Schizosaccharomyces pombe: one gene and its partners. The gene in region 1 interacts genetically with each later gene. Each region holds a gene or a part of one and is shown in the gene's direction. Other genes may lie near its edges.

Region 1 (4,704 bases):
GTGTCTTCATTCGTAACAACTCATATTTTATAACTTACTTCCTACTAACGCGGTTTTAATCCTAAACTTGAATAAACTAGTGGTTTGTTTAATGCAATTCATTAAAAGGACATTTCCGCGAAGGGCCTTTGTCGATTTGCTCCTAAACCGCTTCTGCTTGCGGGAATTTGCAACCACGTATAGTGTTTCAGTAAGTAATGCGCGGAAATTAGTACGAAAGCGCCTTTTAATCGCTGATGCTTTGAAATTCAAGGAGCAAGTCAACAATCTAAATGAGTTTCGAAATAAAAAAACTAAGTCATCCTTAATAAGAAACGATGGTTTCAAACTGGCTAAAAATGTATCTTCGTTACTTCAAAAAGAGTCTTTAGAGAAAGCATTGCATTTACTGTACGAGAGATCAAATGCCAAGAAGACGGTTGCCTATAACCTTGTACTACAATATCATTTAGCTAAAGGGCATTACAACGCTGCTTGGTCTTTGTACAATGATATGAAAAAGCGCCAACAAAAACCTAGCGATCATACATACTCCATTCTTCTAAAGGGATTTTGCGATGCTATTGAAAAGAATAAGCAAGGAAATTTTTCTAAACTACGTGAATATAGTGAAAAGGTAACAGCTAGTGCTCTCAAGGAGTCTAATAATGTCACATCCAATTTGCATCACATACGAATTATATCCAAGTGTAGTCTAAAGCTTAAAAGTATGGTATTGGTGTCAATGATTATTCCATCCATCAAACAAACATTGGATTTCTATAGTGGATCTCAAATTCTTCGACTTTTGAACGACTTTTCTATGTTCAATCCGGAACAACGTGAAGAAGTGTTAAAGATGGGGACGAATCTTTGGAATTATTTTGTCCTTGAATGCCAAAAGAAAGGAATAGCAGTTGATGAAAGTCTTATTTGTTCCTTTGTGAAACTTCTGGCTACTAGCAACTCGCCTCAAGTGAGAAACGTGGGGTTAAATATTCTTACAAAAGTGATGGGATTGGAATATCAGATTTTCGAAGATTCCAACTTGCGTTATCCTTTACCCCCATATTGCGATTGTACTTCAAGAAGTTTGGTTACAGCATTACAGGTCATTCGTCAAATACAAAACGGTGATTTGTTAGCAAGGTATTGGAAGTATTTTGAGGAAAGTCACAAATTTGATTTAAATCTTCAAGTATATCATGAGAAGCTACGTAACCTTGTTCAGCAGGGCCAAGCAGCTGAATGCTTAAATACCATTAAAAGGATGTCGCATAACGGTCCTTTCCCTACTCAGCAGACATTTTTGATTGTCTTATCATTATGCAAAAGGCCGAAATTTTATAGCTACACGAAAAGCTTCTTAGACTTGGCCAAGAAATTGAACGTCCCCGTTGAAGCAACCTAAAAATATCATCAAGTGTTTAATAATTCATCGATACCTTTTTATGTCATTTATAATTTTCTATTAATTTATAAGAAATGAATTCAAATAATCGTCATGTAATTTATTTATTTGTACATGTTTACCTTGTCCGTTTGAAACTGTAGAATGGAACCCTTATTATTTTAACGTCAATTTAGCAAACGTAATTTAAAATTGTTTGTTGAAAAGCCATGAATTAACTAAGAGTTATAATTATGTTTCTGTTGCATGCCACTGATTTAGCCTGAACTTCACCTAGACGTAGTATTAACTTAGGAACTACTGATTTTGGGCATAAAGAGCTATATACTCACTAAAAATGCAAGGATTTAATATGGGGAAATATATTCCCCCGGAAGGGCCGAATGCTAAAAGAAAATTTGATAAATTACGAAATGTAATTCGGTTTGAAATGCCATTTCCAGTGTGGTGCAACAATTGTGAAAATATCATTCAACAAGGCACTAGATTCAATGCTGTTAAAAAAGAGATTGGCTCATACTATACTACGAAAATATGGTCATTCAGCTTAAAATGTCATTTATGCTCAAACCCTATCGATGTACATACGGATCCTAAGGTACTGGTTTGATTAATTTAACAAATTTGTTACTGACATAAATAGAATACAGAATACATCGTTGCTTCTGGAGGCAGAAGGAAAATTGAACCTCAAGACATCAATGAACGTCCTGCAAAAGCTGAAAACGACGAAAAGGTGCCGTCTGATGCAATTGAAGCGCTGGAAACCCAATTAACTCAGCAAAAGTCAGAAAAGCATAATAGTTCTGTAATAAACTTTATATATGAGAAAAATGAAAGGCTTTGGTCGGATCCTTTCGTTTCTTCTCAGAGGCTGCGAAAACAGTTTCGGGTAAGAAGAATTTGTTTTGCGTTAAAATTTTCATATTAACTAACCCATAACTTAGGAAAGGAAAAAAATTGAAAAAAAGCAAGAAGCTAAAGATCTATCTCTCAAAAACCGTGCAGCGTTGGACATTGATATATTACCACCCTCTTCTTCTGACAAGGATAAGGCATTATTGTTGCTAGATAACGAATTAGGAAAGAATAAATTTATAAGGAAATTAGATTATAGAAGAACATTAATGCCCTCTTCTAGAACATTTTCGACTTTTGCAAAGTTTGCTGAGACTTCATTCGCAAAAAAAGATCCTTTTGCTCGAAAATTTGTCCCTTCCGAGAAGCTAAGGAGCGAGCAAAGGAAATTTCCTACAGAAAATTTAAAGGGAGAGAAAATCCTTGAAGATAATTCGGTTTCTCTCGTCAATTATGAAGTGAGTGATGATGAAGGATAATTATTTTGGTTAAATACGAAGACTTTAAAAGTATCTTCTATCAAAAGATTAACTACTTGTTATTCATTAAATTTTTATACAATATGGGTATCTAATGAAGCAAAAAAATATGGATGTCATGCAACCCAATTAATTACCGTGATGCTTCCTTTTGTACTTCCTTGGATCCTTCCTACTCATGCGAACGCGATCGCGCATTCCTTTTCCTCCCTCCCAGTAGGCACTGGTTTGTTTTTTCACAGTCATATTTCCACAATGGGGGCAAGTTGCATCCTTTTTGTAGAAAGATTCCATGGCACAGTACCCACATATTATTCGATTAGCATGCTCAAATGTATGATTTTGATCAGCGTCATGACATTCATCACATGGATAAACACGATCACAACATGAAAAACGAAACCCTGATTGTTAATTATGAATTTTATAAACGACTTACATCTGAATGATTTTTTGTAATGTTCGCAAGCACCATTATTGGGAAGTGGCAATCCTTTCGTAATGTTTAAGTTTTGTTTTTGCTTCTTTTTTGCGCTCACCTTCCCGCCCATTGAACTTTGTCGTTGTTTTAACAAATGAAATTCGGTATCTTGATGTTCAACCAAGATTCTGTTTTTGCATACTTTACAAAACTGTAGCATGGGCTGCATGGAAGAAATACCTTTAAAGGATGTTATCTGCTCATCAACACATTCCATACAAGAGACCTGACAGTCAATGGGCATCACGTCAACCGGTACACATCCTAAAGTATGGAGGATACCTAAACGGGCATTATTTGGGTGAATCACACCAGGCACCCAAACTAATCTTAGAGTATTACTACACTTATTGCAAACAAGAGAAAATTTTGTAGCAATAGAAATTTCACTTCCATAATGGCACCGAACACACTTTATGACCAAACGTAAAATTGGTGCTTTGAGAGTACCGACATTAGTTAAATGCGGATTCTTCCATTCTAAGCAGTATTCGTTACCCAGAAGCTCTGTGTCTTTGCTCTGAATGTCATGATCGTTACTGTAAGCATCCTGTGGTTCATTAACATTTTGTAGATCATCTTCTTTCCCATCGTTTCCTCCTTTTGAATAAATAATTTTTTTTGGCTTTTCATCATTGAATAACTGTTCAGAGCCAGAGATGGTAGTTTTTGTTTGGGTAGTATTCTGCTTTTGACAGTGATTTTGACCACGCAGTACTTCATAGTCAAGTGTAGTGTTCAAATGAACCCTCTCTGATAGAGGTCCTTCAAGCTTATTTGCCAACGGCTCTAAGTCAGTTGGGGTTTCTGGTTTCTTAGAATCGACTTGTTGAACCATCAACTCACGCTCTTTTGTATTGCATGTCTCAAATGATTTCCAATTTTGTAACAAATAATTAAATAAACTTGTCAAAGTTGTTTTCTGATTTTGAAATGCCGTTTCAACGTACTTATTCATTGCCGTTTGCATGAACTCTTGATTTTTTTCAAGTAATACCGATATTTGAAACGGTTTATCTTTATTTATAACTAAAGTAATCAATCCATGATCACTGGGCAAGGATAAGAAAATCTCATTTCTTGCCTCTCTGGTACTAGTTAATAAAGATGTTTACATTAACTAACCCACAGCTAACCTGCTTAGTACTTACATAACTTCCGGATTAAGCCTTCGCCGGAATACTTGTATCTGCAAGTCCCAATTTGAATCCTTCATAGCTTCAATTGAAACCATAATAACCAAAAAAGGCTATAGTCTTGTAGTATTTGGTTCAATTCAGGTTAAGTCGCCAACACAAATACTCGGTTCTTCCTCGGATGTCCGATGATTATTTCGACAGACTATTTGAATTAGCATTCGTTTATATTAATGAAGATGAAACGATTCAAAGCTGTTCCTTCAGAGGACAACGCTGGCTTGAAGAGGTATGTCTAATTTTTCCGTGCCGTTTATAGTAATGTGCTTCAATTACTAACAGTTTTGAGGCCCAAACTCT
Region 2 (4,442 bases), on another chromosome or scaffold:
AAATTGATAACACTGACGCTGAGGGTCGTCTTATTCTTGCCGATGCAGTTCACTATGTCTCTTCTCAGTATAAGACCAAGGCTGTGATTGAAGCCAGCACATTAACTGGTGCTATGCTAGTAGCCCTCGGTAATGTATTTACTGGTGCATTTGTTCAAGGAGAAGAGTTGTGGAAGAATCTTGAAACTGCTTCCCATGATGCTGGAGACCTTTTCTGGCGTATGCCATTTCACGAGGCTTACCTCAAGCAACTTACAAGTTCTTCAAATGCTGATTTGTGCAATGTTAGTCGTGCCGGTGGTGGTTGTTGTACAGCGGCTGCCTTTATTAAATGCTTCTTAGCCCAGAAAGATTTGTCTTTTGCTCATTTAGACATTGCCGGAGTTATGGATAAGCAGCTTAATTCTTGGGATTGTGACGGCATGAGCGGACGCCCAGTTCGCACTATTATTGAAGTCGCTCGCAAGTATTAGCTTATTTATTTTCTTGGCTATATGTGCAAACTTTATGTTTTTACTTATTTACTGTTGATTACACCAATCTCATTTTTCAATGTCCTTGTTAAGTGTATGTCAATGATATGTAGCTATCATGATTTTATTCTTTTTAATACTGTTTTCCACAACCGTTCATAACGGTTGTAAGGACCGAGTCTTTCTGATGGCTCTGGTTCTGTTTCCTTTAAAAATAAAATCAATTCGGTTGAAGTCTCATGTTGTTAAATTTCACTTTCGAAGTAGCGAATTTTTTTTTTCTATTTTGAATATAGATTTGTTTATTAAATGTAGTAATCAATTTACTCATGACTATTACTTTTGTCAAACAAAATCATAATACAAAACTAAATCTTTAAAGGTAGAATATTCTCCTGTGCGAGTTTACAATACTTTGGGATATGATCAAATCAATTTTTTTTAGATATCTGTTGAAATTTTTATAACAGTAATTTTGTATTATTTATCATACTATTTATTAGCGTTACCTGCCCTCTTAAATGTACACATCATGTGGGGGTGGGGGAACCAGTGCTGGAGATCACTTCTTGCTATACCGTTTGGCTCATGGCAACTATTGAGGATAGCAAGGAGCGTTACAATTTGCAAATCAATATGATAAACAGAAAAACAACAAGTTGAAGCTTAACACTGTAGCAATATAACAATGAAAAAAATAATCAGAATTAAAGCAAGAAGCCTATAAATGGTCCATCAATTGTGAAATCGATATTGCTAGATGTCAGGCAAATCGTGAACTCGGTTGAAAAATGTCGTTAATATTCATGTGAAATCATAATTACAGCAATATGTTCAAAGACTTTTGGATACTTTATAATAATGAGGATTCTATTTTTGAGTGGTCACATGGTCTCGTAACCATGAGGTACGCCTTACTTTTACGGACGAAACAATATTTCACATTCAGCTCTCAATGTTAAGTATCCAAACAAACATGGTACAAACCAATAAAGCATGTAAATTAATAAGCTTGAAATAAGGAATAGTCATTAAATTCAGTTTAGACATAATGTAAAAGGTATCAATTTTGTCTTTGGTATAGATACAATTAAGAATTTCGAGACGGAACGTTCGGTGATGTAGAGTTTTCATAATAATTTCTGCAGTTGCTTACACTAACCGAAGAATCGTCCAGTATAAACTGCTGACGATGCCTTAAATCAATAATTGCAAATTGCATAGTTGACGTTTTCCCGGGTGGCACATAGTGAGATTTGAGTCGAATAATGAAATAGCCTCTGACGAGTGGTTTCGTACCAAGAGTTTCAAAAAGAATAATCCACATTAACTCAATGTATCATTGATGACGGAATGTTGCTTATATAGCCAGAGTAACCCTGCTCTGAAGCATCTAAGGTTATATCTTTTTAACTTTTAGCTAGCAAACTCACTTGTTCCTTTAAGTTCAGAAAGTATCTGCTGGTTATTCAACAGATAATTATCTTGCGAAAAAGGAATACACACTCAGCATTGTAATTTGTTGAGTATATTTCACAAGCACATTAAATTGCATTATCAAACATGAGTGGGGATATTTTAGTCGGTGAATATCTATTCAAAAGGCTTGAACAATTAGGGGTCAAGTCCATTCTTGGTGTTCCAGGAGATTTCAATTTAGCTCTACTTGACTTAATTGAGAAAGTTGGAGATGAGAAATTTCGTTGGGTTGGCAATACCAATGAGTTGAATGGTGCTTATGCCGCTGATGGTTATGCTCGTGTTAATGGTCTTTCAGCCATTGTTACAACGTTCGGCGTGGGAGAGCTTTCCGCTATTAATGGAGTGGCAGGTTCTTATGCGGAGCATGTCCCAGTAGTTCATATTGTTGGAATGCCTTCCACAAAGGTGCAAGATACTGGAGCTTTGCTTCATCATACTTTAGGAGATGGAGACTTTCGCACTTTCATGGATATGTTTAAGAAAGTTTCTGCCTACAGTATAATGATCGATAACGGAAACGATGCAGCTGAAAAGATCGATGAAGCCTTGTCGATTTGTTATAAAAAGGCTAGGCCTGTTTACATTGGTATTCCTTCTGATGCTGGCTACTTCAAAGCATCTTCATCAAATCTTGGGAAAAGACTAAAGCTCGAGGAGGATACTAACGATCCAGCAGTTGAGCAAGAAGTCATCAATCATATCTCGGAAATGGTTGTCAATGCAAAGAAACCAGTGATTTTAATTGACGCTTGTGCTGTAAGACATCGTGTCGTTCCAGAAGTACATGAGCTGATTAAATTGACCCATTTCCCTACATATGTAACTCCCATGGGTAAATCTGCAATTGACGAAACTTCGCAATTTTTTGACGGCGTTTATGTTGGTTCAATTTCAGATCCTGAAGTTAAAGACAGAATTGAATCCACTGATCTGTTGCTATCCATCGGTGCTCTCAAATCAGACTTTAACACGGGTTCCTTCTCTTACCACCTCAGCCAAAAGAATGCCGTTGAGTTTCATTCAGACCACATGCGCATTCGATATGCTCTTTATCCAAATGTAGCCATGAAGTATATTCTTCGCAAACTGTTGAAAGTACTTGATGCTTCTATGTGTCATTCCAAGGCTGCTCCTACCATTGGCTACAACATCAAGCCTAAGCATGCGGAAGGATATTCTTCCAACGAGATTACTCATTGCTGGTTTTGGCCTAAATTTAGTGAATTTTTGAAGCCCCGAGATGTTTTGATCACCGAGACTGGAACTGCAAACTTTGGTGTCCTTGATTGCAGGTTTCCAAAGGATGTAACAGCCATTTCCCAGGTATTATGGGGATCTATTGGATACTCCGTTGGTGCAATGTTTGGTGCTGTTTTGGCCGTCCACGATTCTAAAGAGCCCGATCGTCGTACCATTCTTGTAGTAGGTGATGGATCCTTACAACTGACGATTACAGAGATTTCAACCTGCATTCGCCATAACCTCAAACCAATTATTTTCATAATTAACAACGACGGTTACACCATTGAGCGTTTAATTCATGGTTTGCATGCTAGCTATAACGAAATTAACACTAAATGGGGCTACCAACAGATTCCCAAGTTTTTCGGAGCTGCTGAAAACCACTTCCGCACTTACTGTGTTAAAACTCCTACTGACGTTGAAAAGTTGTTTAGCGACAAGGAGTTTGCAAATGCAGATGTCATTCAAGTAGTTGAGCTTGTAATGCCTATGTTGGATGCACCTCGTGTCCTAGTTGAGCAAGCCAAGTTGACGTCTAAGATCAATAAGCAATGAGCAAGCTATTGAGAGTGGAATTGGCAAACAAAGTTTCCTTTGATTTATATGTTTTTTATGATAAGCCCATTCAATTCATATAGTCTTTTAGTATAATGATTAGTTATTAAATTTATGTTTAAAGCAACTTTTTAGTTTAAAATTTTTCAAGTCAAGTTAGGGTGTACGTAAACAAACAATACCTTGGAAGCAATGAATGAAAAGGTAGAGTTAATCCAAACAATGTGGAAACCAGTTTCCTTGCATCTACTTACTAGTTTCGCAGAAAAATTGCTAAACTGCTTAAAAGCCAACTTTAACATTCTTATTTCTTACATAGGAGCTACCGTTCCATTCACATTGTGATATGCTAAGAATTTATTAGTTTTACAAAAATTGGGTGATTCTACTATTTAATACAGTGGTTTTGTAACGTAATGAAATTATAACGCTCGTTTATTACGATTTCCTAGGTAATGTAGCGGGTAAAGGCAATTGACTGATATTATGTATCACTCTATCACAGCAACGGACGAACGGTTTGCGTTGTTGTTTATAAATGGTTCTGCAACGCAGCTTCTGACTTTGACACTCTACACCACACCATACTTCAGCGCTCTATTCTTTCGCATAGGAAGGTAAGCTGCATTTCGTGGCGTTTGGTACCTTGAAAAAATATATTTTGGTTAATATTCGTTGGCTTTTTCTTTT
Region 3 (4,459 bases), 540 kb from region 1:
GGTTGCGTGTACAAAATAAAATATGTGACTTGTTGCACATATCAATGCGTTCTTTGGGTGCTTCAGCGATCAGTTTGGCACATCTTTCTAGTAAGGAGATATGGGAGAAAAGTGGAAGATGGCAAAAGACTGGAAGTGAACTTTTTCGTCTTCATGACCGAAATGACAGAGAAATGTGCCTTGCTCCTACCCATGAGGAAGATGTTACTCGCACTATGGCTACAATCATAGATTCTCAAAAGCAATTACCGATACGTGTTTACCAGATAGGTCGAAAGTTTCGGGATGAATTACGTCCGCGAGGTGGTCTTCTTCGCGGTAGAGAGTTCATGATGAAGGATCTTTATACTTTTGATATCGACAAAGCATCCGCTATGAAAACTTACGAGGATGTTTTGCAAGCATATCATACTTTTTTCAAAGAAGTGGGATTGCCATTCGTGATGGTGAAAGCTGCTACGGGTAATATTGGAGGAAACTTATCACACGAATTTCATTATCGACACCCTGTGGGAGAAGATGTAATCTATACATGTCCGTCTTGTCATTATTCAACAAATTCCGAAATGCTTGATTTGTCTAAAACATCCAGTGATATTTCATGCCCTAATTGCAATGATCAGCTAACTTCAACTACCGCGATTGAAGTAGGACATGCCTTCTATCTTGGAAAAATTTATTCCTCCAAATTTAATGCAACGGTAGAAGTAAAAAACAAACAGGAAGTCCTTCATATGGGATGTTATGGAATCGGTGTTTCAAGACTTATAGCTGCAGTCGCTCATGTAACCAAAGATGCAAAGGGTTTAGTGTGGCCATCGTCGATAGCTCCTTGGAAAGTACTAGTTGTTCCTACTTCTGATAATCATATTCAGAGCGCTGAAACGGTTTACGATGCCACGGCTAACGTTGTAGGCTTTGATAATGTGCTGTTGGAGGACAGACAAAATAGAGCTTTTGGATATAAAATGAGAGATGCTGAGTTGATTGGATATCCATTTGTAATAGTTGTAGGATCAAGATTTCAAGAGGAAGGAATATGTGAAATTATTGTTCGTTCTTCAGGTGAACGATATAAACTTGACAAAGATTCACTGCATCAAGTACTCTTGGGAAACTTTCTTTAAATTTGTCAAATCCTACAATATTTTTTTATGCTATGAGAGTAATCTAATGTCAAGAATTTAACTTATCGTTCAAATAGATACCATTTCTACTTGTGAACATTGGAAAAAAGCTTTTTTGTCCAAAAATTATATCAATGCAAAATGCTGAAATCATCATTTCGATAAAATTTGTTTTGTAGTATCAGACAAAAACTCGTTCCGCTTTATTGATATCTTACTATTTTATAAACATTAAAAAAGTGTCATGTTTCCTTCCTACTTCTTTTTGTAATTCGGTTTTCTGCAACTATAGTTTGAACTCATAAATTAAATCAGATACACAATCTGAGGATCGGATGCAAAACTAAGTTTGAAGTAATCCCTGCAAAGAGCTAGCTGATTCAATAGTACGAAGCAAGAGTTTAATATTAACAATCATAAAGATTTGCGCTAGATTACAATTTAAGCGAAATACAATTCCAAGCCTTCAGGCTATCTATTTAATAGTTCGGTAAGATAATGTGAAGATGTCCGAGTGTGATTAAAAGCAGTTAAAACACTTCCCTTTGAAATAAATCAAATAATACGACCAAAGACCAACAAGTTCAGGGTTCACTTCTATAAGTCTCATAATCAATATTTTAGCTGATTTTTTAAGCAAAATTGCAAATTCCACGGAGTGCGATCACATCGACACTACCTGTTTATAAGAATATATAGGAGTATATATATAAGAGGCAAATCTCTGTCAGGATATTTCCAGAACACCAATACCTCAATACAGGCGATTAGAAAGGAAACGATTTCTAACGCTCTTTAAACGTTTGGATTGAAACTAGTAAGTATTTATATCTATGTAATAACTGTTTTGAGTGAGACCCCTACGCGTCTTTTCATTGCTTTCTATCTTTAGGTTTTCTACGTTTTATTTATGCGATATTAATACTTATTAGATTTATTTCATTTTTAAGTAAAATGTCACAATTTGCTGAGTTCAAATTACCTGCCATTAAGAACGAGCCTCCTAAACACTATGGTCCCAATAGTGCTGACAGAGAGGGAATCGTCAAGGCCTACAAGGAGTTAGAGGCTGAATTACCTGTCACTATCCCTGTCATCATTGATGGTAAGGAAGTTGAAACGAATACCATTGGTGAGCAGCGTTGTCCTTTTGAGCACAAAAAGGTCGTTGCTCGCTATCACCGTGCTGGTGCCAAGCACGTTGAAGATGCCATTGAGGCAGCACTTCGTGGAAAGAAGGTCTGGGAATCCTTACCTTTTGCTGACCGTTCTGCCATTTTCTTGAAGGCTGCTCATTTGATAAGCACCAAGTACCGTTACAAGCTCATGGCTGCTACAATGATTGGCCAGGGTAAGAACATCTGGCAAGCTGAAATTGACGCTGGAATGGAGATCATTGACTTCCTTCGCTTCAATACCAAGTATGCTAGTGAATTATATGCCAGCCAACCTCCCGAAAACACTCCTGGTGTCTGGAACCGTATGGAATATCGTCCTTTGGAAGGTTTCGTTTATGCCATTACTCCTTTCAACTTTACAGCTATTGCTGGTAACTTGGCTGCTGCCCCCCTTCTCATGGGCAACGTCGTTTTAATGAAGCCTTCTGACCATGCAGTCCTTTCTAGCTACATTGTTTACCAAATCTTCCGTGAAGCTGGTCTTCCCGCTGGAGCACTTCAATTTATCCCTGGTGACGCTGTTGAAGTCTCCAAGGTTTGTTTCAACCACCCTGAGTTTGCTGGTCTTCATTTTACTGGTAGCACAGCCGTCTTTCGTAGCCTTTGGGGAACAATTGGCGAGAATGTTGCCAACGGAAAATACCGCACTTACCCCAAAATCGTCGGTGAGACTGGTGGTAAGAACTTTCATCTTGTACATTCTTCCGCTGAAATTAAGAGTGCCGTTGTTAATGCTGTTCGTGCTGCTTTCGAATATCAAGGCCAAAAGTGCTCTGCCCTTTCTCGTCTTTACGTTTCTAAGTATGCTTGGGAAAATGGTTTCCGTGATGAGCTTACCAAACAGGTCAAGTCTCTTAAGGTCGGTGCTCCTTTAACTGATTTTGCTAATTTTGTGGGCCCTGTTATCCATCAAGCAAGCTTTAACAAACTGAAGAAGGTTCTTGAGAGTGCTGCTTCCGATTCTGAAATTGAAGTTTTGGCTGGCGGTAAAGCTGATGATTCCGAAGGTTTCTTTGTTGAACCTACCGTTTTACTTTCTAAAAACCCTAAACATGATATATTCGTTAACGAATTGTTCGGCCCCGTACTGTCTGTTTATGTATATGAGGATGACAACTTAGACGCTGTTTGCGATCTCATCGATACTACCACTCCTTATGGTTTAACCGGATCCATCTTCGCTCAGGACCGTGTTGTTGTCAGAAAGTTGACTGACCGTCTCCGTAATGCCGCTGGTAACTTCTATATCAATGATAAGTGTACTGGTGCTGTTGTTGGTGAACAACCTTTTGGTGGTGCTCGTGCCAGTGGTACTAACGATAAAGCTGGTAGCGGAATGATTCTGTCTCGATTCGTTTCTCCTCGCTCCATCAAAGATACGTTTGCTTATGCAGACTCTGTTTTATACCCTTCCAACTTTTAAGTTTGTTTTGGCCTTTTTGATTTGGATTTAATTTTTAGAATTTAGATAGACATTGGAGTTGTAGAGTGTTTTACTCTGTACTTTGATACTGCCATAAAAAAGACCACAACCTTTTTTTTTTTGGGTTTAGTACAATATGTGAGGAATAAAGGAAGTATATATATATATATATATTGATTAGTTACCTTGAGTTAAACTCAAACTTTCAAAGGTAGTCTAGGTTTTACAATTTTTTTTTTTCTTTTTTTTTAAAGCTCGCCATTTGTTATTCTAATAAATTATAATGTTCGCTTTGTTAACATGTATTGATTTATAACACTAGATTTGTTGCATTGTATATAAAAGCCAGTGGACCAAAATGTAGTTTGCTGGTGATTCTTGAATACAACAACGACCTGTAGAAAAAGGATCTCAATTATCGAACATTTTACTTGCTGACTGCGAAATATATTATATTAGGCTTCGGAGCAATTAGAAAAATTACAAGTCTTGATGGAAAGTTCGTTTGCTTTACATTTTGTTGTAGGGTTACTCATGTACAAACACCATTAACCCACATACTCTCTACTCCACACATCGCCCAACATAATTAAAACTTTTAACATGTTTTCATGGGAGGCTAGTTTATCTAATGGTAAGAGATGAGTTGGGAATTAAATAACAACTAATATTTGATAGAACTGTATTTTGTTCGTCAATACTTTTATAGTGGAAACTATACAAAGTTATTT
Region 4 (5,396 bases), on another chromosome or scaffold:
TTTCCTGCTGTACAACTTACTAAAGTGGCATCGTCTAATCTTTCCGTGTATCCAAGTTTTTGTAACTCTAAACGCATGCTATCTAGCGTAGCTTGCTGTGTAGAATTCAAATGCCCTGGGTGCCCTAATGGAGCATTTGGATTAGTTAGAGGATAAGGATCCGATATAGTTTCTGACATCTTTTTGTTTAGACGATGGTTGTAGAGAGAAGACCTAATGACCCAGTCTGTACAAGATGTATAAAGGAAAAGGAAGAACGTCAGCGACCTTAATACTAGTGGTCATCAGCCGTGGGGGATCAGTCAAGCGTGGGGGCCTTTTACCTACTACCGCAGGAACCTTTGTTGCCATGCTACACCCAACGCTATTGTTATATGTGAGTATGAGGATAAACTTCAGTGTTAAAAATCAGATGAGAGGAAGAAGCTCCTCGTATGAGGTTTAAATTGTGTATAACCAATTTTTCAACTTGCATGAAAAGTGCGACAAATTTGAGATGCAGAATGGCCTTCAACGAGGCGTTGAAGGTAAATAAAACATGGGGAAAAAGTGACAATTTAACTTTGTGGAAGCATTTTTTCTTTACCAAAAAAAACGAACGATAGATAATGTTTATTTTATTTAAGCCTTTGAGTGCGCTTGTGGTGATTTTCTGTCATCAATATTTATGCACCTGACAGCTTTGAAAGAGTAAACCAGGCACTAAGAAGCGTTATAGTACATAGAGTATAGAATATGTAAATGGATGATCATATTGCGATTTTGAGATTGTTGTCTATGTAAAAACGGTATAGGAGTATCGTAGCTGGATATTTATGTGAAGTAAAACAGTTCAATTTTATGATTGTTCAGTTTTCGTATTATAAATGAGGAGTAGAAAATTGTCATAGAGTTGTGATTAAAAAAGAACTTTAAATAAGCAAATATAGTAAAGGAAAAGAAATTTTATTGCAAATGGAAAAATATTTCGTGAATAAGCAATTTAACAAAAAATACATATTGAAACGTAAATAAAGTAATACTATACGACATAAAAAATAAAATAAAATAAAATCTAAAGAATGAATAAAATAAATAATAATTAGACTAACAGCCACTTAAATATATATACAAAATTTTTTTAAAAACTAGTTTTGTCTCGCAAACGTAATTATTGTTTCCTTCTCTTTCGATCGAACTTCAGCCATAATTTTGAAAGCGTTTCTTCCACGCAAAGTTTAACAAAACATACAAGAGTGAAAGGCATTGCTTGAATGGACAGTCCATTTTGTACTTGCATAAAATTTTCAAGTTAGTATCAAATTTTCTACATGTTAGCAATAATACATTTATTTACATTGATTTTACCTTTAAAGACCTATAACAATATAAATTTTTGATTATTATATTAACGTTACGGAAGGATAGTATAATCGTCAAAATATCGTTATAATTTAACAAACGAATAAATGCAGGAAACAATGCATTACGCAAGCTTGTTACTAAAGGCAGGAAGCATAGTTTGAATATAGGATGAAAACCGTGGATATCAATGTTATAAGCATTTAACATTGAATAAGTATGGTAGAGGTGAAAAGAATCAGTACTACGTTTCTTAATTGGCAACCTTGCACCTCAAACCCAGCTGAAGTGTACTTTGCACACGAGTCTATTACTACATGGTTTTTTTATACATATTAAATAATAGCAATGGTTATTTGAACTGCAATAACGGTAACCCTACCCCGATATCTCCAAGTTTGAAAATTTACTGCTTTTATGAAAATTTAGTTTACAGTTTGTTTTGGAAACGATTATGCTATCAGTGCAGAAGCTGAAAAAAAGAAAATTTCGGGATAGTAAAATTGTTTTCATGTCATTTCCCTGGCGGTGGTTTTGAAAAGCCCGAAGTTCCATTCATTTGAGTGGCAACTTAATTTTTCATCTATTTAAAGGATGCAATTTTAGTACCACTCCGCCGTATCTTCTACCTAAGACATAAAGTTGTGAAGAAGAAAAAAAAATAAAGGTAGTTGGAAGAAAACCATCTGCATAAATTTCCTTTTAATCGCCAACTCTTTACACATTTGGTTGAGTGTGAAATTTTTACTTTTTCTGTTTCACCCTCTAGTTATTTCCATTCATTGCACCTTGTGTAAATATTTTATTTAAAAATTGGACCAGTTTATCAAATGCATAAAATTTAGTACTTTAATCTTTTAAAGCTAATTTTGTTTTTGTTACTCTGTCCTCTTAATTCTCCTTCATATTCCCTGTTAATAATAATAAATTAAAAAAATTTGATGTTTTATTTTGGTTTTACTTTTCAAGTCAATCAATAAATGTCATCCTCGTCTAAAGATTCTTCGTTCCAAGTGGAAACTCCTGTGCAGAATATTTTAGAAACCAGTACAAACTCCGAGCTTCAAGACCAGGTATCATCTCCATATGAACCAGACTACAACTCACCTGTCAAACAGGCTGCTGCTTCGATAAGTGCTTTACAAACACAAGACGACACTTTATTCAACAACGTTGATGAACGTACATTAGAAAATAAGGATGGGAATAAGTCAGATGATGCAAACTTTGATCAAGTATCCGGTATTCCTTCTGGAAGTTTGGAGATACCAATATTAAACTCAGCTACTAGCAACATTCGGTTAACTCCTTCAGATACTTATAATAATATTCCAGTTTCGGACACCAACAATGAGGAAATTTCTAAAAACATATATGGAGCTCCAATTTTAGAGTCAACTTCTTCCGACTTTCAAAGTAAGGATTCACTTTCCACTACTCAACCAAGTGTTTCGGGGGGAAACGGATCTACCTCTCAAAGTCCTCCTTCACTCGACGTTGAGCAAAATAAGCCTTTTTCGATATCCAATGAACCAGTGGAACAAGAAACTGAAAACTCTTCTACTAAAGATTTACAAGTATACGATTTTCAGACCGCTTCAGAGCATTTACCTGAACAATCCTTACAAAACACCACTTATTATGATCCGTCAAAAACTTATAGCTCGGTGAATTTTGAAGAAATTGAATATGGAAAGTCTCATGAGAAATTAGATTTACCTTATAGAACTACTGATTTTATTCCCTATTCTAAAGACTTGTCAACTAGTCCTGAGGCTCACAGGACTAGTATTTATTCGTATAGTGCTAATTTGCCCAATTATTATAATGAGCATAATGAATTACATGAACATCATAATCCCCAGACACCCAGTTCCCCGGAATCTGCGTATAGTCCTGAAAATTTGCAACTTAATCATGAAGCACAAAATGTTGAATATTTGGGTAACAATGCTGCCGAGAAATCGTTGCAAATGAACTTAGAGGATGAACAAAGATTTCAACAATTTTTGAAAGATGAAGAAAGTATAATGTCAAACTGGTATCCAGGGCAATTTCCTTCAGCTTCTCGCTTATTTTTGGGTCATCTAAATACAAAGAGCTTATCTAAACGAAATTTGTGGAAAGTTTTTAAAATTTATGGGCCTTTAGCACAGATAGTTTTAAAAGCAAATTATGGTTTCGTTCAGTTTTTTACAAACGAAGATTGTGCTAGGGCTTTAAATGCGGAACAAGGCAATTTTGTTCGGGGTCAAAAGCTGCATTTGGAAATTTCTAAAATTCAGAAGAAATATCAAAATCAAATAGAAAACATGAAGAAAGGATCACATGTTACCAAAAGTAATCAATATTCTGAAATGATTGGAAACCTTCCTTATCCCACTAGTAGCAGGTAAGGAATTATCGTTGCTGCAATTAATTTCGCAAAACATCGCAATTTTGTTTGTTTTTTTAGCCTTGCTAACGTAATACAGAAAACGCACGCGATCTCCTTTAATGTCGAAGGGTAAATCCTACGATAGAAAGGGATCTATATCCATGTCTAAAAACTTCAGCCCTGATTGTGAAATACTAGTCACGGAAGACTGTCCAAAGGAATTTGTATGGGGAGTGGAAAAAGTCTTTCAGGAGCGTCGATTGAATATACATACCACTTGTTTGTACCGTGACTCAAACTTACAAGTCATTATTAAAAGCTGTATTATTAACAGCGTTAAATCCATTATCTTGATAAACGCCGGTTTGGCTCACCTAGGGAAGGTGTCGGTTCAAGTGTTTAAAGACGGATCTAGCGATTCAGAAGTCCGTTGTGATGGTACGTTGAATAAAGATATATGTGTTTTGACAGAACTCTAACTTTGTCTTTATAGAATATGCTGCTGTGGACGTGATGGTTGCTGCAAGTATTGTTCACCACGCAAAGACTTCTCTCATGCACTCAGCTGCTTCTAGTACGCCATCGTATAATGGTGAGCGTATTGTGCCTGACGTGCCATCTCCCTGTATATCAACGAATCCTAATCTACCAGCTTTAGTAGGTTCTTTAGATTCTGTTAATCTTCACCATTTATTAGGATTCATTCAAAATACCTATAGCACTACTTCATACATTCCAACTAGAGTTAGTTTTAATCCTAATGATACCGGAGGATCATTTGGAACAATTACATCTCAGTCCCAATTTGTTGTGAATGAGATGCCTAAAAATTATGCTCGTGATAATTACGAAGCATTGCATTCTCAAGAAAGCCGCCAAAGGTCTTCAGTTGCTGGAAACAAGCAACTTCAAAAGATATTAGAGCAGCTCGCAGAGCTCAAGCAACCTGATTTTTGATATCTGACCTTAGAAAAGGTTTATATATATTATTTGTTAACAAGTGTTTTAGGTAGCACTTTGTTAATATGGTTTTGCGATATATATGTCCTTGTCTTCAATATTTATTTCACTTTTTTCTCAGTTATTCTTGAAGCATTTATATGTAAAAACCAACAGACAAGTAATTTTTCTTGCTGCACGGACTATCAACTGTTCATTTGTATTTTTTTCGATGCATACAAAAAATGGTAATAAATCGTTAGGAAGAAAGTTTCGATACTTGATTTTTACTGATTAAGAGATTTAGCGAGTAAAAATTAATAACAACGACATATTTTTATTATTAATTTGATGATCATGAATGTCAAATGTCCTTTTAATATTTTACTACTTAGGTAAACGTGCAGTTTAATTGATCTGATAACAGCGATGCACTGCTACGCAACGCCGACTAGTACGTTGTAAGCTTAGTAAGTAAGTAAGTAGTAACTTTTATATTATAATCTTTTCATTACTAGTAATACAAGTGCCTCCCAATCTGAAGTTGCAATTAAGGAACTTTATTTAAAGTATATTATCAGGTTAATTTTTTTAATTAGAAATAACAACCGCTGGTCGGTCTGAATATCAAGGTGCTTTTAAAGGATTCTCTAAAATAGGAAGTTTTGAAGGATCCTCGTTTTATTTTGTGCCTCCACTTCAAATACGGAGGCAACTACAATTGCTTGAAAGGAAATTA

The links.
Region 2: mutations in saf4 (region 1) and pdc202 together harm fitness more than expected from each alone (negative genetic interaction), as found in Schizosaccharomyces pombe (one large-scale study listed by BioGRID).
Region 3: mutations in saf4 (region 1) and put2 together harm fitness less than expected from each alone (positive genetic interaction), as found in Schizosaccharomyces pombe (one large-scale study listed by BioGRID).
Region 4: mutations in saf4 (region 1) and nab3 together harm fitness less than expected from each alone (positive genetic interaction), as found in Schizosaccharomyces pombe (one large-scale study listed by BioGRID).

Annotation. Positions count from the first base shown.
Region 1 is NC_003423.3:1,786,070-1,790,773, reverse strand, and holds saf4 (splicing-associated factor Saf4), read left to right. Parts: upstream 1-1,727; coding exon 1,728-1,988; exon of another isoform or gene 1,989-2,033; coding exon 2,034-2,282; exon of another isoform or gene 2,283-2,337; coding exon 2,338-2,727; 3' UTR 2,728-2,856; coding exon of another isoform or gene 2,857-3,131; 3' UTR 3,132-3,166; downstream 3,167-4,704. Other genes in the region: PPR repeat-containing protein Ppr2, read left to right, coding at 92-1,390; SPOM_SPBC18H10.09 (zf-CHY type zinc finger protein), read right to left, coding at 2,857-3,131, 3,167-4,296, 4,360-4,442; ubiquitin hydrolase Ubp4, read left to right, coding at 4,526-4,633, 4,694-4,704.
Region 2 is NC_003424.3:583,561-588,002, forward strand, and holds pdc202 (pyruvate decarboxylase), read left to right. Parts: upstream 1-2,036; coding exon 2,037-3,752; 3' UTR 3,753-3,935; downstream 3,936-4,442. Other genes in the region: ysp2 (peptidase family M17 cytoplasmic leucyl aminopeptidase yspII (LAP yspII)), read left to right, coding at 1-473.
Region 3 is NC_003423.3:2,323,175-2,327,633, forward strand, and holds put2 (delta-1-pyrroline-5-carboxylate dehydrogenase), read left to right. Parts: upstream 1-1,866; 5' UTR 1,867-1,944; intron 1,945-2,059; 5' UTR 2,060-2,081; coding exon 2,082-3,728; 3' UTR 3,729-3,924; downstream 3,925-4,459. Other genes in the region: SPOM_SPBC24C6.03 (proline--tRNA (Pro) ligase), read left to right, coding at 1-1,127; sec28 (coatomer epsilon subunit protein), read left to right, coding at 4,332-4,362, 4,407-4,459.
Region 4 is NC_003424.3:603,775-609,170, reverse strand, and holds nab3 (poly(A)-binding protein Nab3), read left to right. Parts: upstream 1-1,959; 5' UTR 1,960-2,321; coding exon 2,322-3,733; exon of another isoform or gene 3,734-3,815; coding exon 3,816-4,156; exon of another isoform or gene 4,157-4,211; coding exon 4,212-4,675; 3' UTR 4,676-4,859; downstream 4,860-5,396. Other genes in the region: spo20 (sec14 cytosolic factor family, phospholipid-intermembrane transfer protein Spo20/Sec14), read right to left, coding at 21-179.